4 linked regions of the Alligator mississippiensis genome follow. The main gene of each other region encodes a partner of the protein of the gene in region 4 in a complex. Links are inferred from orthologs where the notes say so. Each region holds a gene or a part of one and is shown on either strand. Other genes may lie near its edges.

Region 1 (7,316 bases), on a different chromosome or scaffold from region 4:
GTTGTAACATGTTTTAGTTTGGTGAAAGTTTGGGTAAGAACATGCCTATATTTGGGGGTGGAGGGCAGGGGAAGTTACCCAAGATATCTTGCTTTAGCTGCTATTGACTTAGGCCTATCCTTCAGAGAGACTTTCCTCTAGAGCAGTGAGAGACAAACCTTTCAGCCATCTAAATCCTGGGGATGAAATGTTCTAATAATGCAATAGCAATTGTATAAAGTACATAAAATCCCTAAGGCTAAGCAAGGGTTTACACATCATTGACACCCAGATCCCAATATAGAAAGAAATGCTCAGAACATTGTTTTACAAGCGTTAACATGGTGTATATCATCTGCCTCCTGGTCTGAATTTACTCTCATGTCCTTCCTCAAAGGGAGTTTTCAACCAAAACACTTGCTCTTCTCTATGGCATTAGGGGGCACTGTGCTGTCAGAGGTAACGTCTTTTTCATAGGAGAGACAGAACCCTGGTCACTAGAAATCTCATGGCAACTTTTACAAATAGAGGGTTAACAGTCCAAAGAGTTCAATTGAGCAGTTATCCTGTTTCATCCCAGAGGTGGCTACAATCCAGTAATCAATAAAAGGGTTTCTAGAAATCTCTTTGCTACCTCATACAGAGGGTATAGGGAGGCTTAATTATGTGATCTACTGATGGAAGGTGTTATTAAAAGTAGTATGTCAGTACTAATTGTGTTTGCAATATTTGATTACTATCTGTTACATGGTGCATGGGTAAGGACAGTACTAACCTGTCAGGCATCCCACACTAACAGTGTGTGCTACTTGCCTGAAGTCTTGCCAGAGGAAGTTGTAATATAGATGGGACCCAAGGGTATTTAATTATCCAATCATCTCACCCTGTTTGCCATTTGGGATTAAAATCTGACATTGCTGGCTCCCAAGTTTATATTTAGCCCATGCTGACTCACTGTGATAGGATTGTATTATTTGGTATAAATCATTACCATTAACTGCTGACAAGAGCAAGAGTAACAAATGAATATTGTACTTCCACAGGCTGTCTGGCAAAACCTTAGCTGTTCTCAATGACTGTCTTATGCAACAGAGACTTCCCTTAAAAATAACTATTAGAATTGAGTTGTTGTTCCAGTATTGAGGGACTGGCCTAGTCCTATAAATATGTATTTTGTTAGCACTGCAGCATGCTACTGAAATGAAGGGGAGACTTGCCTTAAGCTAAAATAACAAGCCCCAGCCTCCTTTCCTGCTCTCTCATCCTCCCCTTACATTGTTCCAGTTACTGTATCCTAGAGAGGTTCTTATCACCATTATGTTTGGCTGCCATCCACTATTACATTAAACAGCACAATTAATCTCTGTCGCAGTGGCTCGTTCTTTCTCCAAAGCTCAAATGGACCACTGGGTCGAAGCCGTGAGGCTGGCATCCCATGACTTGCTAGTGCTCCATTAGCACTTCGATAAGCGTTTAAATATAATCCTTACCAATTGCAAACTCCACAAGAGTCTCGTTGTCCTCCGTGAGCGCGTCCAGGAACAAGTCAAGGACTTGAAGCTGCCGGAGATATTCATAATTCTTGGGATCATAGGCAAAGTTGGCTAAATTAGCCAGTACTTGTTCCTTGGCTTCTGCAACATAAAAGCAGCTTCAGATTCAGGAAAGGGACAACTGATAACGGGGACAAGCTGTAACTGAATCCACTATGATGTGGTAGCAGAGTAACTATACTGCTGCAGTGTCCTACTTTGGCCCTAGAGCAGTGGTTCTCAAACTGGTTAATTCAAGGCACCCCATGGAAAATGCTAACTCACCTCGCGCTCATTTTTTTGACTGCGGAAAAAACAATCCAGCAATTCTTCTGTTGCAAAGAATTCAGAAAGACCCCAACAAGTCACAATGCTTTTGACGCTGTGGATTCCTATTTGAAATCTCTTGGGTTTATTTTGTGACTCCTGTAGATTTGTCATTGCAATGGCACCCTTATAAGGATCACACAGCATGCTGGCTGAGAATCACTGCTCTACAGGCTCACATTCAAGCCTTGCTCTTGGCTCATCCTGAAGGATGCTCCCAGCTGGTACAGTGGGAAATGGGCACCTGGTCATTCAGACTGTGGTGTTGAATGGGTAATGCCAGCCACATTGTCTTTTTGTGTGCTGCTGGCTGCTGAAGATGGTGTGCCAGTCCTGGGGTGTCACCCCCGCTATTAGACTGGGGCAGACCTTTGATTTTGTCCACGCAGTGCACAAGGGAGAGCCGTGCAGACCAGCCAGCTGACCCGGAAGCTCAGCAAACACCTTAATAAAATAAAAAGTTGCATCCCACAGTCTCACCTGAACTCTCCGTCACTTGAAACTCAGTGACAAGGGCCTGCAGGTACTCGAGCCGCCCCAGATCCATTGGATCCTACTGATCCTGCAAAGAGAACAACAGGGCTTTATTTTGGCGGGCCCTAGAGTCTCCCATCTTCGCTGCTAGATTAATACAAAGATGTTTGAGTGAGCGTTAAACAGTCCCTGGATTTTCTTTGGAGTCCCTTCAGACCCCCCAGGGGGATCTCACGGGGTCCTCTGGCAAATGTTAACCTGGTCAAGGCTTGGATAGGGCTGCCGCTAAACACGGCGGGGCCCGAACAGGGCTGGGGACAGCTGCAGGTTCCCTGGCTGACCCCCACAAGCATTGTTTGCTCTCCCAGGACAAGTGTGGCCAACCTGCGTGGGCGTGCCATGCAAGCCGGTCAGCGGATGGGGCTGGGAGCAGAAAGCAGAGCAGCAGACTGGGCAGGGAGCACAGTGCTGGGAGCAGAAAGAGCAGCTGGTTAGGTAGGGCACAGAAAGCAGAGCAGCAGTTAGGGCTGGGAACAAAAAGAGCAGGCAGGCAGCACACCCCATGGAGCAGAAAGCAGAGCGGCAGGGGAAGGGCCCGGGGATGGCGGGACCTGCGCCCAGGACCGCGCGGGGCCCGAACCGGCGGCAGGGCAGGAGTGGGTTCACATGGGACAGCGGCGCCCCGCGCCTTGCAGGACAGAGGGCGGAAGTGACGTATAGGGACGCTCAGGGAAGGGCGGAAGTGGCTGCCGAAGGCGCTGAGCCGGAAGTGGTTCCTGTGTCTCCGGGTGGGGGCGGGGCCGGTTTGGGCCTGGGGGCGGGAGCGCTGCGGGCCCAGGAGCAGGAGCTCGGCCCCCTCCCCCGGTCACTGAGGAGAGTTGGGTTTGGGCCAGGCCAGGTGTTGGCAGAGCCCTTTTACCTACTTCACCTCACGGATTGCACCATAGGAGGTTGTTGCCCTGAATCTGCACTGGGGAAAAGGTCTAGTACTCACTGACTAGTACTCACTAGCTAAACCTGCCGGGGCACGGCTGCTTTCCTCGTTGAGGTGACCCTCTTCATTTTGGCTTCTCCGTCTGGAAAATGGAATCATAATAATTCCCACTTCTGTCACGAGCTGATATACGAGGGCTCGAACGGCTCGGCTGTATTTTTGCATGCATGAGCGTACATGCCGCTTGAAGGAGTTTTTCTAGCCTGTTGTTTCCGCTGGGTGGGTGTTGCACACCTTCTGCCCAGCCAATAAGACGTGTAGCCAGTGTCTTTGCCTGATGGTTCATCCTAAAGTGGGACTGAAAATCTCAGGCATAAAACACCCAGTCTTGACCCCTGAAGATTGCTTGGGGTGACATTCACAGCCCGCCTCCAGCTCTGGATGAGAGAGGGGTTTTTTTGCCTATATTTTTTGCTTGAAAAAATGAAGGGCCCACTCTCCCTGGTCAGGAGATGAGTACTTGCACTTCAGACTCGGCAAGTCGTGGAGAATCGTTGCAGTTCTGGACGGTGGAGTCTTCAATGACCCTCTCGGAAGGGTCAGCATTTCTCTTCGGTGTTAGTTACCTGCTCACCTTTGTATTTCCCTAGTACAGACTATTTGTCCCTTGTCCCATAACTTCTCTGAATTGTTTGTAATCGCTTCATTGAGTCACTACTAGGAGAACAAACAGCTTGTTCCCAGACTCATGACATTGATCAGCCTCTTGGCAGGCCCGGGCAGCGCAAGATTTACTTACCCTGGACAAAACAGAAGTCTTTATCCCAGCATCTCCCCCTTTCTTTACTTCAGTAAATGATTAGAGAAACGGATTTGAGAAGCAAAAATTCACAGGGAAGGGGCAGTGCGTGCATGGGTGGGAAAGGGAGGAATGATGTGTGTTTTTGAAATGTATCATTGGGCTGAGATGCTCAGGGAGCGGGAGAGGGAGGGAAATGTCAGAACAAGAGTTAAAAGAGAGAGACAAGGCAGAGACTGCAAAGTGGGAACAATACTGGCACCTCCAGATGTGTGAATGAGAACAGAAAAAGTGGAGTGAAGCCTGGGCTGTGACAGAAACATGGGAGGCCACGACAGGCTAGCAATACAGTGCCCTGGTTTGAATACAGAGTTGCATCAGCTTAACTGACAGTAATTTGAAACCGGTTAAAGTTCATTTTTAAACCCATTTAAGCTAAATGAGTGCAGCTCCAGAGTGTGGGCATGGCTTAAACTATGAAGCAGGGAACTCATTGCAGAGACAAATGATTGATGAAACGAGTTAAATGCAGTACTGAGTTACACATCAGATGATGCCAAATGACCTGGCTGTAGCCAGTTAGATACGGTGGTACTTCTACCCAAGCTTATAGGTTGAGGGCAAGCCTATGCTGAAACTTTTGCTGGTGTCATCGGTGGTGGGGTTCATCTTTTTGAGGGGCCCTAGGTGGTGGGTCTGTTTCGGACCCTTGTGCTTTTTAAGCAACCAGACCAAAACTGTTGTAATGCAAGAAGGGTCTCTGTCCAACTTGGAGCTCAGTGCAGTTGCCAAGTTTGTACTCCCCCAATACCACCATGGATATAGTGATGTCAACCAAGTTGTTAATGACTGAGTTAGACACTTCTGTAGCAGCAGAAGCCCTAATGCACAGAGCCCTACCAGAAGAAAATGCATTCATTGGCATGGGTTATGTTATTTGGGGAGCAGGTCATAGCTATGCTGCAAAAGCACCTGTTTTGCTGGTCCAAGCAGCATCTGCCCAGGAGGGCTTGCTGGTACGAGTCCACTGGGAAATCTTTTCTGGTGTGAACTAGATCTGTTGTTCTTGCTGAGGTTTCTAGAAATAGAAGTGGTGTGCAGAAGGCAGCAGTAAATTCAGGGGCCAGTGTGAGGCTGTGAGGGAGGGGGAAGCCCACTGAGGTGAGTTTGGGAGGTGAAATGATGCTGAAGTGAAGTGGAGGGGGGGGAGAGAAGGATGAGGGGAGTTGGATTGAATGGGAGGGGGGGGAAGGAGCAGGGAAGGAAGAGGGTATCTAGGTCTGAACTTGTGGTCCCTCAGTCTGTAATTCTGCACAGAGGAAAAAAGGAGAGAGACTATCACTCTTCTGTTCTTGCGCACATGTCTTGAGCCTGCGTTAGCTGGATTTGCTAGTATATGTGCTATAGGGATGCACTTCAGGTCATATTATTTAATGCTTAGTGAGTGGGAAAATCACTTATCAGCTCAGGGTGAGGGGCCCAGCTTTGCTTGTCTTCCTGTGACCCACTAGATCTGTTTTCTGAGGTCTTTCTCTTGCTTTGACATAAGCCCAGATTGATTTAGAATCAGAACAATGGAAATTAAGGGCTGGAAGGGACCTCGAAAGATCCTTGAGTCCAACCCCCCTGCTCTGGGCAGGAATACTACTGAGATCAAATGATCACCAAGGTGTCGGTTCAGTCTCCTCTTGAAGACTTCCAAGGTTGGACACTGCATCACCTCCTTGGGAAGTCTGTTTCAGAATCTGGTCACCCTTACTGTAAAGAAGTTCTTCCTTACATCCAACCTGAAACCATTCTCTAACAGTTTATGGCCATTGCTCCTTGTCCTCCCCTGGGGTACCCTAGTGAACAGTTTTTCTCCCAGCTCCCGATGTACACCCCTTACATACTTATAGACAGCTACTAAGTCCCCCCTCAGTCTTCTCTTCCCCGGGCTGAACAGTCCCAGATCCCTTACTTTTTCCTCACAAGGTTTGTCCACCAGGCCCTTAATCATTCTTGTGGCCCTTCCAAGATTGTCCACATCTTTTTTGAAGTGCAGCACCCAGGACTGGACCCAGTACTCCAGCTGGGCTCTCACCAGCGCTGAGTAGAAAGGAAGTATCACTTCCTTAGCCCTGCTCGTGATGCATCTGTTAATGCATCCCATATGCTATTAGCTCTGTTGACAGCATCGCCCTGGCTGCTCATGTTCATCCTCTAAACATGAAGGTGTGTGTGGGGGGATGTTTTTGTGGTGGCGCTGCTACCCCCTGGGAGGTGGGTGAGACAATGTTCACCTGGCTTCTGAGTTGGAGAACTTGAATGTAAGATTTGTGGGAGGCTGACAGACAATACTAGTCACGTTCTTGACAAGACCTGTTGGGAGAGTGGGTGCATTTGTCCCCTTTAAGCTGGCTCACTGCCATGGTTTTCTTTACAGACCGCTCAACAGCATACAGAATTGGATCCCATGAGCTCATCTTTTTGGCATGTGACACTTGCTGTTTATCTTAGGGATTGTTAGAGCCTTTCGAAGTCTGACTGCTGTCCCTGCCAGGTGTTTGCCAGGACAGTTGATGACAACCAGGATGATATCATGGAGGAGGCATGTACAGGGGTAGCCCCTGCAGCTGCAATTCGGTGAGTTTTAGGTTGTAGCATGTGTGTATCACCCCAGTCTCCAGCATGGCAATCTAGGGATGGGCTTGATTCTACAGTCATTAGTGCCTTAAATACAGCTGAAATGGTACAGATTGTGTCTGAATGTCACCCTTCTCAGCTCTGGTTTTTATAGGACCGCAGCAATGGTTCCATTGGTTAAATATCAGTGAGAATGTGAAGTTTGATTAGAATCCTTGAATATTTAAGTCTGAACTTCCTGGTTTGTATGCCACAGCCGTACACAGACACGCTTACTGCAAAAGTGCGGAGGAGCCCAAAGGTTGATGAGACCTGCAGAAACAGAGCAAAGGGGCCTCGGAGGGGTGTGTGTCCCTGGCCAATTCTCCTTGTTCTGCCTAGGTTCTAGTAGTTTATAATCTGGTTGAGGCACTAGTGTTTGTATATAATTAAAGCTGATTTCAGCTTGACTGTCTATGGGAAGTCGGTAAAAACCAGTTATGCTTGGTAATTAAGTGGGGCTGCCTTGCATCATTGGATGACCTTAAGCTAATGAAAGGAACCTTTGTTACGGGTTTCTTTTTCTTTATGTTCTCAATCTTTAGAGCTTGTGGCCTCCCCTTCCTGTCCTCTTGTTCTCCAAGCAAGGGGGACTTTTTATTATGTT
Region 2 (7,219 bases), on a different chromosome or scaffold from region 4:
AGCAGCATAAATTTAATTTGTTCCTTAAGCACCGCTCATCCTATCACTGGATCCAGGCAGTAGCTCTGCAGGGAAAATAGCCCAATCATGTAAGTGCTATGATAAAGGAGACAAAATTAATGGACAACCTTCTTAATTCTGGGATTTCCTATATATACAATTGTATACCATTTCCTATATATTTTTACATAAAAGCAAATCTAATATTTGTTCTTGAAACAACACCTCTCCCCCATCATTAAAAATGCAAGAATCCTGAACCTCCAGTACAGGTCTTTCACATTTAATGCAAAAGACTGATTACCCAGCTCGCAGCAACAGAAAGTCACTTTCTTCTGCGGCCCAGCCATTAAAGGACAGCCCAACAGACTGAAACACCAGCTACATCTCCAGGAACTTCAACCACAAAGAGATGGTGTGTTCCATACAGTGATCATTTAAGAAAACTGTGTTACATTCCACATTTGTACACCCCCTCATCATTTGCTGTCCTCACATTGTTCACTTGGCTTCTGCCCCAGTACCTCTTCCCCCCCCTACAGTCTGCGTCTGCCTTGCCCATTTAAACTGCAGGTTCTTTGAAGTAGTATAAGATTGTGAAAAAAACAGGATTATGGCCAGGAGGAATATAAACAAACAAAAATTTTAGCTCCTCTAAAAGTGGAAGGGGAGCTAGTCCTGGGGAGTGTGCTACTACTGTTAAGATGCAACTATTACAGCTGTGAATGCTTGTGGCCATACAAAAGTTAACCTTTAAGCCTGGAAGCACTGCTAAAGTTGGAAATACTTTTATAGTGATACAAGTGTAGCAAAACAGATCAGGTTTTAGAGCACCCTGCAAATCTGTACTGGTTTAACTAAGGTTTTACTACTTTAAAAAGTTTTGCCATTTAGCTATGCTTACAAAGTAAGAGAGGCAAAAACCCATGCTGCAGATGCCCATACCTGCATCAAAATTTGTATGTGGCTACAGTTTATTCATTTGGAAAAGTAAAATAAAATATAAATGAAAAAATGTATCAAGCAGGCATAACTATATGCACACAAACACTTCTACTGACATAATTATGAAGTGGAAGGGTTGGGGGACGACTTTCTCCCCTTAGCATCCTCACTATGTTGGTAAGACTTTAAGTGGAGAAGTTTAAATCAATTTTGTAAACGTGCCTTTAGTTAATCCAGTGCAAGTTTGTGTGTAAACAAGACCCAAGAGGGATATTGCCACAGCCACTTGTGTGTTGAGACCTGGTTCTTATGATCAACCCACTAGCTCTCAGCATCTCCCAAAACAACTCATTAGAAAGTTAAACGATATTAGAAAATAATATTCTTCCTTCTTGATTTATTACCATGACTATCTATGATCTGTAAACCAGAGTCTTCGAAGCATTTTCATGGCAGTCTATGAGAACCGCTGGCAGGTCAGTGCTAGCTTAGCGCGCTGCTTCCATGGCCCTAGTGGCTTCTACAGGCAGCCAGGCTCTCGCAAGAGCCCCTTCCCTTATAAAAAAGAGCCCAGCTACCTGTAAAACCAGACAGAGACACGGACTGCAAGCATCAATTTCTAGCAAGAGGGGTAAGTTATGTTAATGAACATGCTGGAAAGCAAATGATGTAGACGGGCAGCATAATCAGAGCTGACAGCACTAACGGCCACCAGGCACACACGAGAGCAGAAGGTCAGAGGGAGACACAGAACATAACAGAACTGATTGGTAAGGATTCCCATAAAGAAGATACTTATTATTCTAAATAGCATCCAAAAAACTGCAAATCTCTGCTCCTTTGGCATTTAGCAACAGCTGCTTATTGTAAAGGAGACCAGAGGGAGTCTAGATGACCACGACTATGGGCAGCCCTAACAATCTGTATTTGGGCGAGATCTAGATTATTAGAGGTCCAAAACATCCATTCATTGTCTTCTGGACCAACTGCTAACCTTTACATGAGACATCTTTATTACCTGAACACCCAGCACTGATACACAAATAAAAAATATGAATTGACATTCTTTATCCTAGTGCTTGGATGCAATCGCAGGAACTTGGCCACCAGACATTTCACAAGAGGTGTCCCGAAACATCAATATTTAGGGAAGGCGGTGGAGTTGCTTGGGAAGACAGAGGGGGTTTTCCAGCCGTGCTTTATCAACAACTGGAGCCTCCTACCTGTGATGGTGCCATGCACCTGCGTGCCATTCTTCAGTTCGATGGTGACAGTCTCGTGGCTCAGCTTCATCAGAAACCTGCGGAACGAACCACAGGTAAACACACACATCTTCTGTGCCCAACACACAGTTAAAAACACATCCTAACGATGGAACACGGCAAGGCCGTGATGAGCACACATTAACGATGCTGGGGGGCTTCAAAGCAGCACCCAATAATGTAGGAATCCATCAGGGACCTGCAGCCCCTTGCCAGGGACCTTCAGGCAGGTGCAACAAAGGCAGGAATGGGCACCCCAGGGGCAGACATCCCAACTCCCCCCACCTGAGTTCAGCAACTCTGCTGGGGCAGGGGACATGCATGTGTGCGTGTGCCCCACCCTGCACATACGGCCTCGTGTCGGCCGCTCCCAAAGTTTGGTCCATGGGACCGAACCTTGGGAGCAGCCGGCGCGCGGGGCCGTATGTGCATGCGCAGTGTGCGCGCGTGTATTGGGGGGGCTCCGAAGCCCCTCGCGGGGGTCTCGGCGCAGTGTGACCCGGGCAGGTGAGGGGGAAGAAAGGAGCAGACAAGGAGCGCGAGGCTCCGTGAGGGGCAGCGGGCGTTGGGGGTGTGAGGCAGGAGGCGGGAAAGGCCCAGGCCCGGCGCGCGCCACTCCCCGCCGCCGGGGCCCGCTCCTAAATCCGGCTCCATCCGGGCCCTCCTCACCTCACGAGCTTCATGGCGGCAGCCGAGACCGCGGGAAGCAAACGGCCGGAGAAAAAAAGAGAAAAAAATTGAGCCCGGTGCGGAGGCCTCAGACCAGGCCGCGCCGGAGGCTCGCGCCAAGGAAGCGGCAAAAGCTACTAACAAATGAATGGGCGGAAGCGGCACCGGAAGTGCGTGTGAACGCGCGGCCGCCACCTGCTGGCTAGGGGGAGGCCTAGCAGCGTCTGCAAGCGCCGCGCGTGAGCAGTGGACTCCTGGGCGGGGCGGGAGTGGAGGCCAGAGGACACCGGATTGGTTCGGCCCCCGAGTGGCGGGCTTCAGTCACGTGCCCCAGCTTGAATCCGGGCAGGAGGTGGGCCGGCCGCATTGACTGCTTTCTTTTACTTGCTCAGCCCAGTGCGGGGGCGGGGGGGAGGAGGAGGAGGACAACGGGTCCCAGCGGAGGGGGCAGAAGTGGCATGAACGGGAGTTGTAGGAGAAACCCGGAGGTTTCCAATAGGAAGCCCCAGTGCCAAACCCTGCTGCAGCCAAATACTTTTGTCTTATTACAAAAAAAAAAAATAAATAAATGGAAAAAACTTAAGAGCAGGGAGGGCATCCCTCCTTGGTTTAAACGTTGCCCCCCCCCCCATCTTGTTTTCATTTAATTGGTGGAAATACATGACATTCACTTGTCCATGCCATTCTATTGGCTGTGCCTAGAGCTAGGTCAGGGCACAGCTAGGAAAAGCAGGGCTCCCAGGGAGAGGGGCCAAGGCCTTTTTCTGTGATGGCTCCACCCTTTGTCACTGATTGGCCAAAGGGTCCTATAGGTCCAGCCCTTGCTGCCAATTGGTCATGGAGACATACCTCTTGCTGCTGATTGGCCGAGGGGGCCATCTCTCAGCAAGGGGCTACCCTGGATTCTGGGAATGTCAGGGGTTCCCTACCTGGGGGGGCTCCCCAAGTCCTGGGTCCAGTGCTGGGAAGCCAGGCAGCTAGAACACCTGCTTGCTAGTGCACAATATCCCCCTTGTGCAGACCTCTCCTTGGCATTCTTAACCAATCCACAAGAAAAAAAAAAGGGGGGGGGGGGGTTTCTTTTGGGGAAGGGACAAGAACCTGACAGCAAGTAATGAGAGTTGTCGGGGAAACAAAAATTGTGGAAATAAATTTCCTCTCTTTAGTCAAGCTGTCACAGGTCAGATACTAAACTGCTGGTTTTCAATAAGGGGTGGATCCAGCCCCTTCAAAAAAACACTACTTTCTCATTTTTTTATATTTAATGAGTCAGATACTCTAGTTCTCCCCGTACCCCTCAGATGCTCCAGTTCTCTGACCCCACCCCTCCCCTGCAGATGGTCAGAAACATCTACAGAAACACTGAAATACATTTTAAAATGTTGCAGGAGTGAGTGTTTTGATACAGGACGTATGAGTAGTCACTTCCTTGGTCACGTTTTTTGTTAAAAAGAGGATATATAAAGCAAAAACGTAGAAGAAACTGTGTGGGCCAGGCCCCGATCCCGCCGCCAAGTGCGAGTCGGGAGGGGCGATCCGTGGCCCGTCTTTTGCACACGTGGGCTGTGGCCAGCAGCCCGGGCACACGGGGTCGGAGAAAACCAGCGGTGAGCTAGAATCAGTCACAAACGCGTAGTGGTTGATTGAAAAGATTATTTACTTACACCCAAAGATGGTAGTGGTATAGGCTGGACAGCTTTCCAGGTGCAGCTCCGCTTAAATCCTCGCTGGAAGACTACGACAAATTCCTTCCCATGGAGTTGTTTAGGCTCCACAGGTTCGGCAATTCTTTCCCACGGAGTTGTTGAAGCTGCACGGGCTCAGTTCGGTTCCCTGGTCCCCCGGAGTTGTTAAGGCTCCGTGGGTTCAAAAATTGGGTTTACAGGAAAGGGATACGTCTGGGATTGCGCTCGGCGACGGGGAGAGGCTGGAGGCGGTTCGTTCTTTTTCCTTTTTCCCTCCAGAGTAGTTAGAGCTCTGGGGGCTTGATTATTAAGCCTTTATTGCCTGCTTGAGACGCGTTGGGTCCGTGAGGATCCGCAGTGCTTAGAGATCTTCACACTGGGTGAAGTCTCCTCCTCCTGGTGTTCGTGGAGTCCTCCAACTTGGGCGGAAACAACTCGAGCCTTTTGTACAGCTAGCAAGCCAATAGCTAGCCGCCACGCGTGCCTACATTCAGAGCCGGCCAATAAAGTGGCGCGAATCTGAATACAAATGGCGAGAACTCCTTTGCACCGTACATCTCTGAGATGCAAAAGAAATGCACCCTGCAAAGAAGCTGCAAATTGGTGGGAAATCCCCTGTTGCACCAGAGTTCTCTCCCGCAGCAGAGAACTCTACCGTGCAAAGAAAGCTACAATTTAGGCGGGAACAATAATTTAGCGGTGCCAAAGCACACACAAACAAAAACCACAACTTTGGGTTGTGACAGAAACCAACCATAGTACTAGTCTTCACCCCTCACACTTGTGTAGGCAATACAGAACAAGCTTAAGGGGAGGAAATTATTATAACTAACTCATTTCTAGGCTTGCTTCCAAAAAGGAGAGAGAATTGTTATGCTAATTTGAGAATTTTCACATACTAATCATCCATTAAAATTAAGTGCAAAATAGTAGGACCTTGTATTCCCCCCCCCCATTAGGCCTTCCTCCAGTGTTGTTGAGTGCTGCTTGCCTATAAGGTACAATTAAAAATATTTACCTCTAAGGGAAAAAAAGACCAAAAAAAAAAAATCTAGAAAAGATTGAAATTTTATTGTAATTTATGGAGTACACCATATGTGAATTTAGAAATACAGACTTTGCAAAGTACTGAAGGAGAGACACCCTTCCAACTCTCAAAACATACATCAGGTCTTGCTACATAGGTACATTAACCATTCAAGTTTGGTCTTTGTTGCAAACTCTTAAACAGAGGATGCACAGAAGATTTACTTGAGCCACGTTTCAAAATGCCCCGCTAGTGAGACCTTCCAATCATTATTTTAAGCTATGATGCACGCTTATCTATTATGCAGTTATGTCTGAGATTAAGTTAGAGAAATTTCCAGTTCAACCATCAACCGATATTTCCATTATAGTATCTAAAAAGCTAGACAGGTATTTTGCTTTTTCCTTACTAGTATAAGTAATGTACAGATAACAGGTAATGTTTAAAAACAAAACCCAGAGAGGCCTTCAGAAACATTTGAGGTTAAAATGAACAATTACCATTGCAAAAAAACTGTACATATTTTCAATCATAACACAATGATACACTGCAGCATCAGTTTTGTGTACTAGTTTCAATAGTGACTAACAGTTGTGCTAACCCTAGTATTCTACATTTTTCTTCTAATATTTAAACTTCATAATTGCAATATGAATATACAGCTGTACTTACAAGAAATATTAAACAATGCACAGCGTCTTAAGCAAATTTCATGTCTGGTTTTCCTGAAACCATATAAAATAAAATGGCAAAATATTTTAAAATTGGTCCTTGATTAGGATTATCTATTTTTTTAAATACAGCTTGGAAGCACTAAATTTAAGACACACATTTATTGATAACTAACACAAATTATTTTTGTACCTTAGTCTTTTTTTTTTTTTTTTTTAAGAAGTGTTACAACATCATGCATGAAAAGCAAGTTGCTTTTGCTCCCAAGTGCAAAAAAATGGAATTTAAGAGAAGTCCATCTCCCCAGAGTTGTTTTCTTCCACAGGTTACCCCAAAATGTATAGAAGCAGTGACTAACAAAAAACAATGTGGAGTGCATCTTCTACATGGTGACTGTTCTTAAAATAAGGTAGTACTTTGGACCTTTAGCATAAGAGGGTTCAATAAACACAGTAGAAGGAGTTTTACATTCTTAGGTTTCATTTATATCTTGAGACAACTTGTATTTGAATTTGAATCGTGCTTAAGCTGTCAAACTGTAATACAGTATTGTCTGAAGACTGCAATATTTAGGCAGTGCCGACATTTGCTGCTTCAGAAATGTCTAATCACTTTCTTATTCTTCCCTCCCTAACAATGATTTAATTGAATATTGCATCAAAAGACAACACACATTTTAAACAAAGCATTAATACACATTTTTGTTTAAGTTTGGAGCAAACAGAGTGATATGTATACAAATAGGACTCTTGCTCACATGGACTATTATGACAAATGAAATTCAACTGTAAAATCTAGAAAGCAAACTCCACTTCCCTGTTCTTAGAGTGAAGTTATATTAGCTCAGAACATGATTTGAGTCTATCATAACACTCCAACATCTGGGTATGTTGACACATGAGCAGCACCACAGACCTCTCCCATCAAAATCACATAACTTGGCTGGAACTACCCTGCTC
Region 3 (6,999 bases), on a different chromosome or scaffold from region 4:
AGTGGAAGCAGGAACTGCCTTGGTTTCCAGCACATTGTCAATGTCCGAGTTACCCTGCACCACAGCATACTGTTTGGGTAGGTAGCAGAATTTAGATTGTTTTGTTTTTTTAAATAGAAGCCACTAATATGCATTTATCTCCCTCAGAGAAATATCTATAATTATCTGTTATACTAAACAGGGGTCTATTGTCCTGACTGGAATATGCATCCATTATCATACCAGTGATACAAATAATAAATTGGAGAGGGATTCATATGCGAATCAGTATTTAACATTTGTGATCTTTACCACTATAATAAAAAGCATTTGTGGACCTATGAAAGGCACAAGATTCACAGGCTTTCTGTTGAGGATCTGTATTTACCACTTAACACACAAAAAAAGTGCAATTTTTTTTCCCCAAAAAGACAAATTTATTCTGCTGCTAAATGACTAAAATTTCCTGCCAACGCTTATAGTGGGCACAGTAAGAATGCCCAATTCCAAGTTATCAGATTTCTCCAGCATGACATGCACTATCACTTGGTTTAGAATTACAGACCCCTATACTTTTTATTATTCCCCCTTTCATATAATACACAAATGCTAAAGCACTTAATAAACTGATGAGATTGATATCTTGAGCTAGGCTATCCTGAGTCAGTAACAGTATCATAAGTCAGTAACAGTTAAAGCACATGTAGTATTAGTTGTCCCAGCATGCTAAGAACAATCTTGTAAGGGAGGACAAATGCAACATGAAGCATTCCCAGTGAGGTGCTTCAGTGTTTTCATCCATGAAATGTTTTCAATCATTCATTCAATGTTTTCATCCAGTTTCATCTTTCATCCAGTTTTATCCATGGTCATTTTTAAACATTTGGGCTGATTTGTAGTGGAATATATTTTATATTACACTGATGAACTACATGGAAGATTTTGTGAAAACCCAAAGGGTGAATGAAATACTATACAGGTAAATTTGCTATGAAAAAGCGAGCTATAAATATTAGTGCAGGGGTTGTCAACCGGGAGTACGCGTACCCCTGAGGGTACTTGAGAAGGCCCTAGAGGGTACACATGGGCAGGTGGCAATGGAGCACCACCTGCCCAGCCAGATCTGAGGGGGGGAGGGGGAAGCTTGCAAGCAGCAGCTGCCACACTGCATTTGGCTGTGCGACACCCCCCACCAGCCACTGGGGAGGGTTCAATAAAGAATGCATTATACAGTGTAACTAAGAGGTTTCTAAAGTATGCAATACAGTAAAAGCCATGTTATCCGGCACTTTATTAACTAGCATGTTCTATTAACCAGCATGCTGGTCAACACTGCAAAAGTGAAACTGGAAGTCCCACTTCCAGTTTCACCAAGTCCACTTCACCAATTTTGGGGCATGGCCCCCTTCTTGTCCCCCAGCACAGCACACTGATGCCAGCAAGTGAAAGCCTGGCACCAGTCTGACCAGGCAAAGATGCCTCTCAGGTAACCAGCATATTTGGTTATCCAGCACCCCCCATTCCCCATGGGTGCTGCATAACAGAGCTTTTGCTGTTATAAACCAAATGAAAAAACAAAACACACTTCCACCTAGCCTGTTGAATATACAGCCAATTCCCACACAGCCAGGCTCACACAATCCTCCATGATATAATCCAAGTGCTCAGAATTCACCTCTGCTTCAAAAAGAGAGGAACAAAACTTATTTTTCAGGGGGAGAGACTTCATTAGAGCATGAATTCAAATATTTACCTCCAGCATTCGTGGTATCCATCCTTTCCGATAACCATATGGAGGCGGTTCTCTGCGTGATGAAACCAGTGCTGTTTGTCTTGATCGCTGAGCTCTTGCTCTTTCTTCTAATTCTAGCTGGTCCTGAGACAGCTGAGTTGGAGCTGGCAAAAAACTGCAAAAAATGGGAGAAGGAATTTTAATCTTATATTTTCACACTCTCCATGCCTGAGATTGAATGCAGTACTTGATTCTGCTACTACGGTATTCAAAACAATTGTTCATCTGTCCCTGGTCTGTATTGGATCATACGCAATGTACAACACTTGAGCATTTCACTTTCCAGTTATGCAGCAGCTACTCTGGAATTTAAACGGAGAAGAGAACACAGTCTCTCCCCACCAGGCCAAAAGATTTCTATGGGGTTTGATAAAACCATCATCCACATTTCCACCCCCCTGGCTCCAGGGCAGGAGCCATATCTACCTTCTCTTTAGCAAGGCAATAACGAACTTGAAAAACCCTACACAAGTCTGCATCTAAGTATGCTTTCCACTGCTCTTGACAACAAGGTGAAAAATATCCAAGTTTCAAGCATTTCCATACCTAAGTGACTTAATGAAAAAAAAATAAGAAAATTGTTTCTACCCTAATTATGTGTGGTGCAAAGCACTAGGCCCAAGGAGGGCTTCCCCCTTCCATAGCACTAGTGCCCTCTTCCTTCTGGACAGAAGCAGAAGATCCCAAACTCTGGGGAAGCCTGCGGAGGCTGCCTGCCTGCCTGGTAATAAGGCCCCTTCTGACCCTGCCAGGGTCTGAGGAGCCTGGAGAGCAGCTCCCGGGGCGCAGCGGGGTATGCCCGCTCCCGGGACTGGAGGGGGGGGGGGCGCTTCCCGCCGAGCAACCAGCCACCCCCTGCTCGGGGAAGCCGGGGGGGGGGGGAGGGGAGAGAAAGGGGAGCGGCTGCCCTCGCGCAGGACAGGGCGGCGGCAAGGGGCTCTCCCGCCCCAGGGCGGGACGCCCAGTGCCGGCCATGCCCCCCAACGGTGCCGGGCCCCGGGGGTGACGCTTGCCCCCGAAGCGGGCGCTCCCAGCTGCGGGCCGGGGCCCCTGGAGCAGCGCCGGGGCTGGAGCCCACTCCCCCACAGCCAAGGAGCGCTGAGGCCAGGCGAGGAGGGCGGGGGAGAGCCCCGACCCCGCACCGGGGCGCACTCGGCCGACCACACCGACCTGGTGAGCGCCATCTTGTCTCCTCCTTTCTCTTCACCAGGCTCCAGGCCGTGCGGCGAAGCCGGGTGCCAAACCGAGCAGGCGCGGGCGCGAAAGGGCTGCTGGGAGTTGTAGTCTCTTGTCTCTATTACGCAGGGCGGTCACATGATCCAGTGCGCAGGCGCACAGGCTGAAGGCTCCCTCGGCGCGAATCTTGGTCCCGCTAACGACTCTAGGCGGCTCCAGTGTTCCACTGCGCATGCGTAAAAGGCTATTGCTTTGCTCGGCGCCGGACTGTGGGCTGGGCTTGTAGAGCTGCGGGGCTGGGGAGTACGTGCAGGATGGGGCCTGGGTTCTGCACCAGAGCTGCAGAGCTGTTCAGGGGCGTCTGCTAGTTGCAGGCTCAGCCCAGCCTCTCTTGTGCACCACAGTGGGGTCCAATAAAGGTTGATCTTTTTTTCTTTTTTTTAAGGAAACATTTTCATGTTCCAGGCCAAATCAGACAAATCCATTCCAAATCCATGACTTATTCAAGAACCATATGTGGCCCTACTACCAGCAAACATCCTCCACCCCACCTGGGGCTTCAGATGTTTACAAATTATTTGGCAGGCATCCTATGTGCAGGTCCAAGCCCAGAGGCTTGGGGTTCAGATCCCCCCAGGTTTTGCTTGCCCTCAGCCATATGGCTTCAGGAGCAAGCTAGGGAGGAGTCTCCCAGTTCCATCAAGTGGGCATAAAGCTAAGATCTTCCCACTGAAAATTGAAGTGGGAGAGTATATATTACCTCTGTAGGTACTACCCCATGCCAGAAAAGTGGTTATCTTCTGTCCCTGGGAAAACCTCTATGGTGATCATGGCATTTTCGCATCATTCATGACAGATGGCAGCATTGCGTGGCCCCAAGCAGCAGTGCCTTCACTGTGACATTACCTTGTTGGGCACCCTCATAGCACTGAGCTCTGGGACCTGATCCGTGGTGGGTACCATGGCCCTATCTTCAGTACGGAGCCAGCCTGTGGCACTGGCGCAGGGCTGGCATACCTGTGTTTGCAGGGTCCTCTAGCGTGGTGATGTTCAAGCTTTTTGACCCCATTGGCCAGAAGAGAGGCATAGGGCTGGTCTATAGGCCAGAAGAAGCCCTGCACACTGCCATTAGGCCCCACAGGGCCTCAGCTGGCCCCTGCCTGGGGCCTGGCACTACCTCCTCCCTGCCCCAAGGAGCAGGAGCAGGAGCAGGAGCAGGTCCTGAGGCCTGGCACAGCCCCTGCCTGGCCACGGACACTGGTTGGAGTGCAGGGCCCAGGGCTCCCCACAGGTCCAGACATCTGGCAGCAAGGGAACTGTGCCACCACTCCCACTCCAAACCCATGGAGAGCCCTGCAGGCCAGATGATGTGGTACCAGGAGCCAGATCTGGCCCATGGGCTGAGCCCCCCATCTCTAGTGCAATGGCTCTCAACCATTTTAGATCAAGGCACCCCACTGCAGTTCTGAATTTAGTGGTGCCCCTTTTCAAAATCCTATAAGTGGTGACAGGTTTAGAACTTTTTTTCTGAAGCTTCTTTACCTTAGATGAGATCTCTTCACAAAAATTATTTATAATGTTTTAATTTAAGCACGTGGGAGAAGTTGTAGGAACACAAGAAGTCAGAAAATGAGACCACTGCAGGGTCCCAGCCCCATAATTACATGGGTACAGTGCTTTCACTACAGGATAGGGACTAGGGTTTGCAGACCCCTACCCTGCCACACCCTGAAAGTGCACCACTGGCACTTTCGGGCGTGCCTCTGGCACTTCCGGGTTGGTGGGATCAGCCACGGGGGGACCACATCTCCTGGCACATTCCCCAGCCAGTGCTCTCAGGGGGGGCACTAGTGCTCTCGCTTGCCCCCCTGCCTGGGAACGCTGCTGTCAGGGGGTGCCCCAGCGCTTTCAGGGGGTGCATGTACACCCCCGTGCACCCCCTACACGTCACCACTGGCAGCAGCAGACTCTCCCACAAACAATTCAGGAAGAGAGACATTTTCTGCAAGACCCCAAGGAAAGCCCCTTTTTCTGCAGCTTGGATGTAGGGTCTAGCTATTGGAGACAATTTAGGATGCTGGGAGCCAGTGAGTATACACTTAGCCTGAGTGAGAGAGGTAGAAAACAGCCTATGCAAACTGCCCAGTGCCTCAGTTAGGACACAGCCCCAAGCTTCAGCTCCACACCTGCTCCCAGACTGGCCCCGCAGCCCCACATGTCTGTACCTGTCCCTTAATCTGCAGCTTCTGTTTCTCCCACTGTTGCTTCCTTGTGAGAAGCTGCACCTCATTCTCCATTGGCTCATCCTCCCCAGTTCTCTCTCCATAGGCACTGGGGGCTACCAACACCACCCAGTACAGGCTAAGCCAGCTCAACCAGCCTCTCCTGACTTTGAATGCTTTGAGTGGCTCCACAAGACCCCTATGCAAGGCACAGACAGGTCATGCCAGGCCACTTCCAGAAGGATGCATACATGTTAAAATGTCCTTAGAAACATGTTGCAGCACCCCAGGGTACCACAGCACCTGGCTGAGAATCACTGCTTTAGTGAAGATGCTGCATATATCAGCCCAAAGGTTTTTCTCCCTGCATATTTGTACCACCTCCTGAACTAGCATAAGCTAAGCCAATAAAGCCCTTTTCTGCCTGCATAATGGCATCCATAGCAGCAGTTTTGCTAGCATTACTATGTCAAGTAGGGGTTGTAATCTTTTCAACGCTGTGTCCCTATAGCTGATGTAACTATAGTGTAGACCAGGTTAGTGTCATGAAGTACCAACAAAATGAGCCAAAATTATAGTTTCCTGCCCCCTTGATATATTTCTGGTATCTGCAAGCTGCTGCTGCTGGGAGAAATGTTCCAGAAAATGTGAATAATCCCTAAAAATTACATCAGGTGGAGATTCTGAAGGATGGGAGCTTGATAAAATATTCAGATATTTTCTCAGGCCTCTTTTATAAAAAGCTCCCAACAAGCCATGCAACTTTACTTTTTAATTACCTATCAGAAGGACAAAGTGTCCCAGGGAGGGACAGAATATATTGTGCAAGTAGGACTGCAATGAAGCTCTTTGCTAATTTTGATATCTAGTACCTGGATACCACAGATAGATGCATTAGAGAGAGAATGATAGAGAGAGTGATGAAAAGTGCTATGTAAGTGGTAAATATTATGATCAGTATTATGAAACTCTGTCACATTTAAAATGTTCTTAACTAGGCTTAAAAGTAAAAAAAAAATCTTTTGTACTAAATTTAAATGCCAGCTGCTGCACTGTATGTGTGTACTGGGCATACATTCACATACCTCCACAGAGGTTTTTTCCCGTGATTCAAATTTCCAAGAGGCTGAAAGAGAAGGAATCTTTTGAGATTTAGATAAAGAAAACTGTTCATGGGAAACCCCCCCAGAAAAAAAACAGTAAATTCTATTAGCCTGTGGAAGGTAGACCAGTTTTACTAAAAGAAGTTCATCATGAAATAAGGTAGTGCTGGGAGTAGGGATGGAAGAGTCCAGTTCTCCATAAAGTCAGTAGAACAAAATTAATTATTTATTAATTATTACTACTGCTTATATTATATTGGTACTTAAGGCATGGCAGAAAGCAGGGCTGCATTGTGTCAGGCATTGTTTTAGATACAAGGTAATAAAAAAATCCATGCCTGGAAAGGTTTACTATGTAGCCCAGGGGTATCAAAGAGTCCAACCAAGAGCCTTTCAAAAAGTCCAGCAAAGTCACCTCAAAGACGTCCTTCCAAATCAATATGTTTCCTATTTACAATATAAATACATTATATACATATTACTCATCTATAATTGATTGAGTACAAAATTCTGGGGTATTTTTGACTGAAAATAGGGTATCAGGAACCAATCCCCAATTTATAACATTGTTTCTTATGAGAAAATTGGCATCAAGTTACAACGTTTCGACTTAAGACCCGGGTTTTCAGGAATCCATTGTGTCGTTAAGTCGGAGGACTGACTGTCTGTACTCTATTCTGGGCACTTCAGCCAAAGATACAAAACTTTTTCATACATTGTTTATCTG
Region 4 (7,299 bases):
CGTCTAAAATTAGCTTGTGGAATATCTGTTTGCAAAAAACATAAAACATTTTTTTTTTCTGAATAAACAGTCATTTGAATATTTAACAGTTCTTCAGACATTTTTAATCAACCCTACATGATACATGTTTGGAAGCCACAGTATTTGGTACATCTGGTAATAATTCATAGGTAACAAAAATAATCATTCCAAATCCTGCAAAACTATAAACAAAAGCCAACACTTTGTACATCAATATCTTTGGAACTTCAAGTGTGCTCTAAAAAGGACAGTATGCAAATGAATAAAGCCCAACATTTCAAATAGCTCCAGATTTATCTTTATTCCCTTTCCATTTGTTTGTGGTTTTGTACCATGTTACCTCATTTTTAAACTCACTCCCCCTTGTTGCTGTTTTAAAAACCCAAAGACCAAAAGAAGTTGACTTATTATTAAGAAGAAACACTGAAATTGACAATATACCAAATGCTATCAGATTCACTATGTATACAAGTTTGGAGAGGACATTCCAAACACAAGTGGTAGCCAGAAGAAAAGGAGAGAAATGTCTGTGAAAAAAGATACAAAAAGAGGCCTTTCTACTGATATTACTTGCAAAGATGGCTACAATAAGCAGAGGAAAGCAGAAACAGGGCTCAATGTCAAGAGTGAAAAAAAAAATTAACAGAGAACATAAAATCAGTAAAGAAAGCCAAAATTGGAATATGGGGGTGATGTGGTTGAGGTGAGGACATTTTGGAATAGGAGAAGATACTTGTAGATGGGAGATACTGGGCATGTCTACACAAGATGTTTACTGTGGAGTTGCTCAATTAGCTCCACAGCAAATGTCTTGGTGTCTACATGTGTGGCCTATTAGGCTGCAGGAAACTACTGAACTCCACAGCAGGTTAGTACTTGTAAATACAGGTACTATCCTGCTGCAGTTTTTTTGTAAGCAACAATGCATCTGTAGATGCTGACCCGGCTGGCTAGGGCATGAAGGTGCTTTAGTGCAGGGGCTGCCTACTGGCTAGCCCCACACTGGAGCATACTTGTGCTCCAGCCTGCCCCTCTGCAGCATGTTGAGCCAGATGGGAGCAGGCCCAGGCTGGCAGAATGACCCCCCTGGGCCCCATGCCAGCCAGGGCTGCTCCGGTCTGGCTCAACTTTATGAGGTCCTGGGCACACATTCAAACAGCAGGCCTGGGAGGAATAAACTCCTGTGCGATGTGTGTTGGAGTTTATTGCTATGAATTAAATGCGCGTGTAGACATGCCCACTCAGGCCATGGACAAGCAATTTAGTTGGAGGACAAAAAAAAAAGGAAAGTAAGAGGAGGAAAGAATGGCAAGGCTTGGACAAGACTGATTTTTGAAGAGAGAAACAGGTTGGAGTTAGAGAGATATCCAGGCAGTTGGCATCAGGAACTTAGGATAACTGGGAAGAAGACAACCACAGATGAAAACATGGGAATTGCAGAGGATTTAGGAGGAATTTACATCTACCCATGTTGAAAAGGCAGTGAATTATCCAGGGTGGTCTAACAGAAAGAAGGAAATGCAAGACTGAGGCACAGGAGATGAGCAGTGTGAAGAACCTGAATAGCAACAATAAAAAGGTGATAGCTAACTGCACAGCAGCATGAGGGTATACAGGGAAAGAGAAAAGGCTAAGAACAAAGCCTTGAAAGACTCTAACAAAGTAGGGCAACAGAGAGAAACAAACATTGAACATAAGATGGGAAATGAACAATGAAACCTCAGGGGGGAGAGGGGGAGGAGGAGGGGGATATGATCGTAGAGCACAAGGATGGGATGTGGCAAAGGAGAGTGCATCCATCAATGTCAAAGGCAGCAGACGCATCAAAGGGATAAGACAAATCTTGAACTGTGTATACATAGGAGGAATATATTTTCAACTTGTTAGAGCAGATTCAGAGAGAAGTTACTGAGGGCTGATGGAAGGAGAAGGAAGCACGGGCAGCGGGGATCACTGCTCCAGATGGAACAACGGCGAAGTGAGAACAAGCCTGCAAAATAAGAACTGTCACCAGAAGTAAACACTGAAATAATTAAGCGCAGCATTCAGTTGCTTACCTGCTTTCTTTCCTCCATAGAAGTTTGTGTATTCTGCACATGTTATGTACCTAAAGAGAAGAAAGGAGAACAGTCAATTCTGGCTGCATTACGGGATAGCACTAACTCTGTTTAGCAGATATTAAGGAACTGTTGCTATTCGCTGGGACTGCCATTCTGAGAAATAAAATATCTTCAGCTACCCAAGGTTTCACCTCTTCACCCTCCATAGCCCCACTGGGGCAGTCGGCATCATGAGGCCCCGATGTTTGGCCTGGCGTAAGAGACAACACAACTGGCACCCGATGCTCAGTGCCACTTTGGGGTGATCCTGTAGCAGCAACAAGTGCGGTGGCACCACGGCCTGCCCCAGGAGCACTGCCATGCCGCTGCACGCATCCTAGGCTGTCCCGTCGGGTGGGACAACGAGCCTCCACAACCACACTGGTGCTCTGAGGCCTGAAGCGTTTCCTCGGGTGGTCTCCGGCAGCCGTTGCTCTCGGAGCTGCCGGAGCCTGCACGCTCTGGAAGGCCGACACTAGCAAAGCTCCCAAAGGTGGTGCAAATAAAACAACTCGGAAGTATGTCCAGTGGAGAAAGCTCCTTCATGAAGCTTGTCCTTGGCACCTAGAGGTGCCATTCGTGATTCGTGCTCCCCTTCGCCGCTATGAGGGACAAGACTCCCAACCCCAGTATTTACGCTGGCGCCCCCCATCACCTGCCCACCCTCTACCCCCCCCTTCCAAACGGCTCCAGCCCAACGGTCCCTGCGCCCCTCCCCCTCACATCTTATCCTTCTGGTGCTGCCTCTTCCCCATGGCGGCGGCGGCGGCGGCGGGGGCTGCTCTGAGAAGACACCGCCGCCCGCCCGCCCGCGGCGGGGGACCCCTGGCTGTGCCCGGGTGCGCGCGGGGCGAGCCCGGCCGGAAGGAGCCGAGGGCTGCGAAACGCCTCTCCTGCCCGGAAGGCCGCGGCTGCAGCCACTTCCGGCCAGGCGGCGTCCCACGGCACAGGGCCCCGCCGGAAGCCGGCGCCGCGAGGGAACGTTCCGGCCGCCTGGGCGATGACTGCAGCGGCGGCTGCCCCCGCGTCTCGTGCAGCTCGAGCAGTGCCCGGGCCCTGCGCCACCTCCTGCAGCCGGCGCCCCGGGGGGGCTGCCTTGCTTTTCCTGGCAGGGTCGCTTTGGGCTGTAAACTGAGCTCCTGCCCAGAACAGCTGTGTACCAAACCGCGAAAACGTTTGAATTCTTTCTTCCTATACGTTCTCCTTTTTCTTCTCCACTTGCAAGTTCATTCAAAATGCAGCAGGACGCGATGGTGAGCTAGTCAATAGAAGACACAAAAGTCCCTATGAAACCAGACACCTCGTTTAAAATGTTACTGTCCATCCACTCCTTGCTCCCCAGCTAAAACGAAAGGACTTTCCCCTCTGCTTCTTCCCTGGGCCAGACTCCGGTGCTCCATTTGGACTAGCCTGATCACTAGAGGTCCTACATGACTAAGGGAGTTTTCCTGTTTCTCACCCAACAGATGCGTTACTAAAATCCTTTTATGCAATCAAGATGATCAGCTCCAGAAAACAAGTTCATTAACCTGCAAAAGCTTTCTTACTTTGGAAGCCCAACTGCTTGCTAGCCTCAACAGTTTGTAAAAGCCTCAGGTGTTGAGCCCCGAGGTCAAACTTGGCCACTTCCGAGGTTAATTTTTGGAATTAACGGAAAGTCCAACAAGACCATGATGTGGCTGAAGGCTTCAAATTCACAGCGGTACACAGATCCATGTTTGGTTTTGACCCAGCTGGCTTTGGGTTTTCTATTGCAGTTTCAAAACTGTTTCATACGACGGTCCAGCATTTTCAGATTTCTGAGAGTGGGAGGCTCTTGGTTTGATTCATACAAAGTCTTTTAGTGGGCACTGAGTACAAACATCAAAGGAAAACATAAATTCACCCATTTGCACTGTACACATACTTGCCATTTTAATTATCAGAATCCTTAGTTGTATGTGGTAATTTCTTTATTCATTTCCATCCAACTTTAATTTTTGCCCCAGAAATTAGTGTTGTGGTTCCTGTTGTATGAGCCAGCAGCCACTATCACCAAGAGAATCTCCTTGAGAATGTGTTCTGAGATCAGATCAAAGACCAGATTGATGTTGTGGTGGACTCTGGGAAAGTGAGAGAGAAAAAAAAAAAGGGAAAGAACAAATTGGGATGTGGAACTGCTATTTTAAAACCCACAAGCATCATAAAGGAAAAAACCCTGTAGATTAGATCAGATTTAGAAAAAGCCACCAATAGTCTTCTTGCCTTTTGTGCCAGATGTAGGGGTCATTAAATAGACAGCTCACAAAGCAATCTTAAGAACGCAAGTTCAAGCCAGTAAAGACTTTTATCCTGTTTTGATTCTTCATGTTTAAATTGGGCCTGGAACATTTTTAATTTTGAAGCATTTTTCTTCCACTCGCATTTTTCCCCTAACATAAGGGTGTCAAAGATGCTCAGAGGATTATAAAAGATAGGGGGTCATCTAATCCAATGCCCTGCTCAGGCAAAACCATCCCCAACTAGATATCCCGGGCAAGACTTTGTCTACCTGGGTCTTAAAAACCTCTAAGTATGGAGATTCCACCACCTCTCTGGGTAATCTGTTCCACTGCTTTACTACCTTCCCCATGAGAGTTTTTCCTAATATCTAACCTAAACTTCCCTCGCTGCAACTTGACACCTTTGGTCCTTGTTCTGTCATCTACCACCACTGGGAACAGTTTAGCTCCATCTTCTTTGGAACCAAAGTAATATGCAGACTTACTGAGGGTGCACTCCATCCCATCTTCCAGGTCGTTGATGAAGATATTGAACAAAACCAACGTGAGGACCCATCCCTGGGACACTCCACTTGATACCAGCTGCCAACTAGACATCAAGCCATTGATCTTGATGATCCAGCCAGTTTTCTATCCACTTTGCAGTCCATTCATCCAACCTGTACTTTCTTGGTTTGCTTGTGAGAAGGTTGTGAGAGACCTATCAAAAGCCATGCTGAAGTCAAGTTTTATCACATCCACTGCTCTCCCCATATCCACAGAACCAGTCATCTCATCAGAGAAGGCAACCAGGTTGGTCAGACATGATTTGCCTGTGGTGAATCCATGCTGGTTGTTCCTAATCATCTTCTTCTCCAGGTGCTTAGAAATGGATTCCTTGAGGGCCTGCTCCATGATTTTTCTGGGACTAAGGTGAGGCATCACCTCAGTCCCTGTAGTGCAGGAATGGGCAAAATGCAGCCCGCCAGGCCATTCTATCCAGCCCACGGGGCCCCTAAAAATTTTAGAAAATTAATATTCATCTGCCCCTGACTGCCTGTCATGTGGCCCTTGATGGTTTGCCAAAACTCAGTGAACAGCCCTCTGCCCAAAATAACTGGCCACCCCTGCTGTAGGGTGTAGTTCTCTGAATCCTTCTACTTCCCTTTCTTAAAGATGGGCACTATATTTGCCCTTTTCCAATCGTCTGGGACCTCTCCCAATCACCATGTTTTCAAAGATAATGGCCAGTGGTTCTGCAATCACATTAGCCAACCCCTCCCCTAGCACCCTCTGGTGCATTGTGTTCAGGCCCGTGGACTTGTAACATCCTGCTTTTCTAAATAGTCCCTAACCTGTTCTTTCATCACTGTTGGCTGCTCCCCAAACTGTGTTGACAGGTGCAGCAGCCTGGGAGCTGACCTTGCTTGTGGTAAAAGATTGAGGTAAAAAAAGGCATTGAAGACTTCAGCCATTTCCACATCATGTCACAAGGTTTCCTCCCCCTTCAGTAAGGGGCCCACACATTCCCTGATCTTCCTCTTGCAGCTGACATACTCATATAAACCCTTCTTACCCCTTGCTAGCTGCAACTCCAATTGTGCTTTGGCCTTCCTGATTTTATCCTTCTGTGCCCAAGCAATACTCTTATACTCTTCTTGTAAGATTTCTTTTTGTGTTCTAGCTCACTGAAGAGTTCCCTGCTAAGCCAAGCTGGTCTTTCGTCATAGTTGCTAGTCTTCCTGTGTATCAGGATGGTTAATTCCTGTGCCCTCAGTAAGGTTTATTTAAAATAAACTCCAGCTCTCCTGGACTCCTTCCCCACTCAGACTGGCCTCCCAGGGGGATCCTGCCCATCAGTTCCTTAAGCAAGCCGAAGTCTGTTTTTCTGAAGTCCAGGGTCCTTACTCTGCTGCTCTCCTTCCTTCCTTTCCTCAGGATCCTGAACTCTATCATTTTATGGTCACTACCACCTAAGTTGCCATCCACTTCCGCATTCCCCGTCAATTTATCCCTATTTGTGAGCAGCAGGTCAAGAAGAACATGGCCTCTAGTTGGCTTCTCCAACACTTGCACCAGGAAGTTGCCACTAGCACTCTCCAAACACTTCCTGCATTGCCTGCACACTGCTGTATTGCCCTCCCAGCAGATGTCAGGGTGATTGAAGTCCCCCATGAAAACCAGAGCCTGTGATTGGGAAACTTCCACTAGCTGTCTGAAGAAGGCTTCATCCACCTCACCCTCCTGGTCTGGTGGTTTATAACACATACTAGAGGTGCACCGATACATCGGTCCGATATTGGATCAGCACAGATGTAAAAAAAATTGATTGTATCGGAAATCGGCCTGATATGGCCAATAATTTGGCTGATAAATGCCCGTGTAAGTGCATAGCCACAGTGCAGCACACAAGCAGCAAGTACAGTCCAGCAACTTGGAGAGCTGCATGCAGCTGGTAAGTCTGTTGTGGTAGAAAGGGAGGGGGGAGGGAAGGGGTGTGGGGGGTGCAGATCAAGGGCCCTGTGGTAAGGGAAGGCATGGGGCTGTGGCAGGGGTTAGTGCTGCTCAGCTGGGTCAGGGTAGGCACAGGATGGAGCCACAGCTCATCTGGGGGGTGCAGGGCAGGAGTGGGGCCGTTCCTGCTGCTGCGTGTACCCTGGGAAGGCATGGGGCGGGGCAGGTGCCCCTGGATCTACGCAGGGGAAGGGGGCTGCAGCTGCAGGCTGGGGCTGCACTGGGCTCTTTCTGGCATGTAGGGAAGCAGGGGTTGGGCCAGGCTACGCTCAAGGTGGGCAGCAATGGCACTGGGAGGTCTTTGGGGGAGGTGTTTCTACGGCAAAATTTGGGGTGGCTGCAGCCACCCCCATAACTCCCCTCCCACCACTGCCGCCACCCATCCCAAACACAGCCTGGCCCAGCCCCACCCCCCCGGAAGAACC

The links.
Region 1: PPIL2 (region 4) and ARMC7 share a complex: the UniProt entries of both Homo sapiens proteins name them as parts of the minor spliceosome. The link is inferred for Alligator mississippiensis from reciprocal best matches to the Homo sapiens genes PPIL2 and ARMC7.
Region 2: PPIL2 (region 4) and SNRPD1 share a complex: the UniProt entries of both Homo sapiens proteins name them as parts of the minor spliceosome. The link is inferred for Alligator mississippiensis from reciprocal best matches to the Homo sapiens genes PPIL2 and SNRPD1.
Region 3: PPIL2 (region 4) and SNW1 share a complex: the UniProt entries of both Homo sapiens proteins name them as parts of the minor spliceosome. The link is inferred for Alligator mississippiensis from reciprocal best matches to the Homo sapiens genes PPIL2 and SNW1.

Annotation. Positions count from the first base shown.
Region 1 is NC_081831.1:12,291,342-12,298,657, reverse strand, and holds the start of ARMC7 (armadillo repeat-containing protein 7), read right to left. Parts: upstream 3,033-7,316; 5' UTR 2,953-3,032; exon of another isoform or gene 2,872-2,952; intron 2,401-2,871; 5' UTR 2,386-2,400; coding exon 2,319-2,385; intron 1,614-2,318; coding exon 1,470-1,613; intron 1-1,469. UniProt on the Homo sapiens protein: As a component of the minor spliceosome, involved in the splicing of U12-type introns in pre-mRNAs.
Region 2 is NC_081828.1:137,214,214-137,221,432, reverse strand, and holds the start of SNRPD1 (small nuclear ribonucleoprotein Sm D1), read right to left. Parts: upstream 3,029-7,219; 5' UTR 2,891-3,028; coding exon 2,877-2,890; intron 2,246-2,876; coding exon 2,169-2,245; intron 1-2,168. UniProt on the Homo sapiens protein: Plays a role in pre-mRNA splicing as a core component of the spliceosomal U1, U2, U4 and U5 small nuclear ribonucleoproteins (snRNPs), the building blocks of the spliceosome.
Region 3 is NC_081825.1:263,413,036-263,420,034, forward strand, and holds the start of SNW1 (SNW domain-containing protein 1), read right to left. Parts: upstream 3,045-6,999; 5' UTR 2,956-3,044; coding exon 2,942-2,955; exon of another isoform or gene 2,670-2,941; intron 2,468-2,669; exon of another isoform or gene 2,360-2,467; intron 1,887-2,359; coding exon 1,733-1,886; intron 1-1,732. UniProt on the Homo sapiens protein: Involved in pre-mRNA splicing as component of the spliceosome. As a component of the minor spliceosome, involved in the splicing of U12-type introns in pre-mRNAs.
Region 4 is NC_081833.1:14,803,605-14,810,903, reverse strand, and holds the start of PPIL2 (RING-type E3 ubiquitin-protein ligase PPIL2), read right to left. Parts: upstream 3,026-7,299; 5' UTR 2,876-3,025; coding exon 2,844-2,875; intron 2,129-2,843; coding exon 2,079-2,128; intron 26-2,078; coding exon 1-25. UniProt on the Homo sapiens protein: Has a ubiquitin-protein ligase activity acting as an E3 ubiquitin protein ligase or as an ubiquitin-ubiquitin ligase promoting elongation of ubiquitin chains on substrates.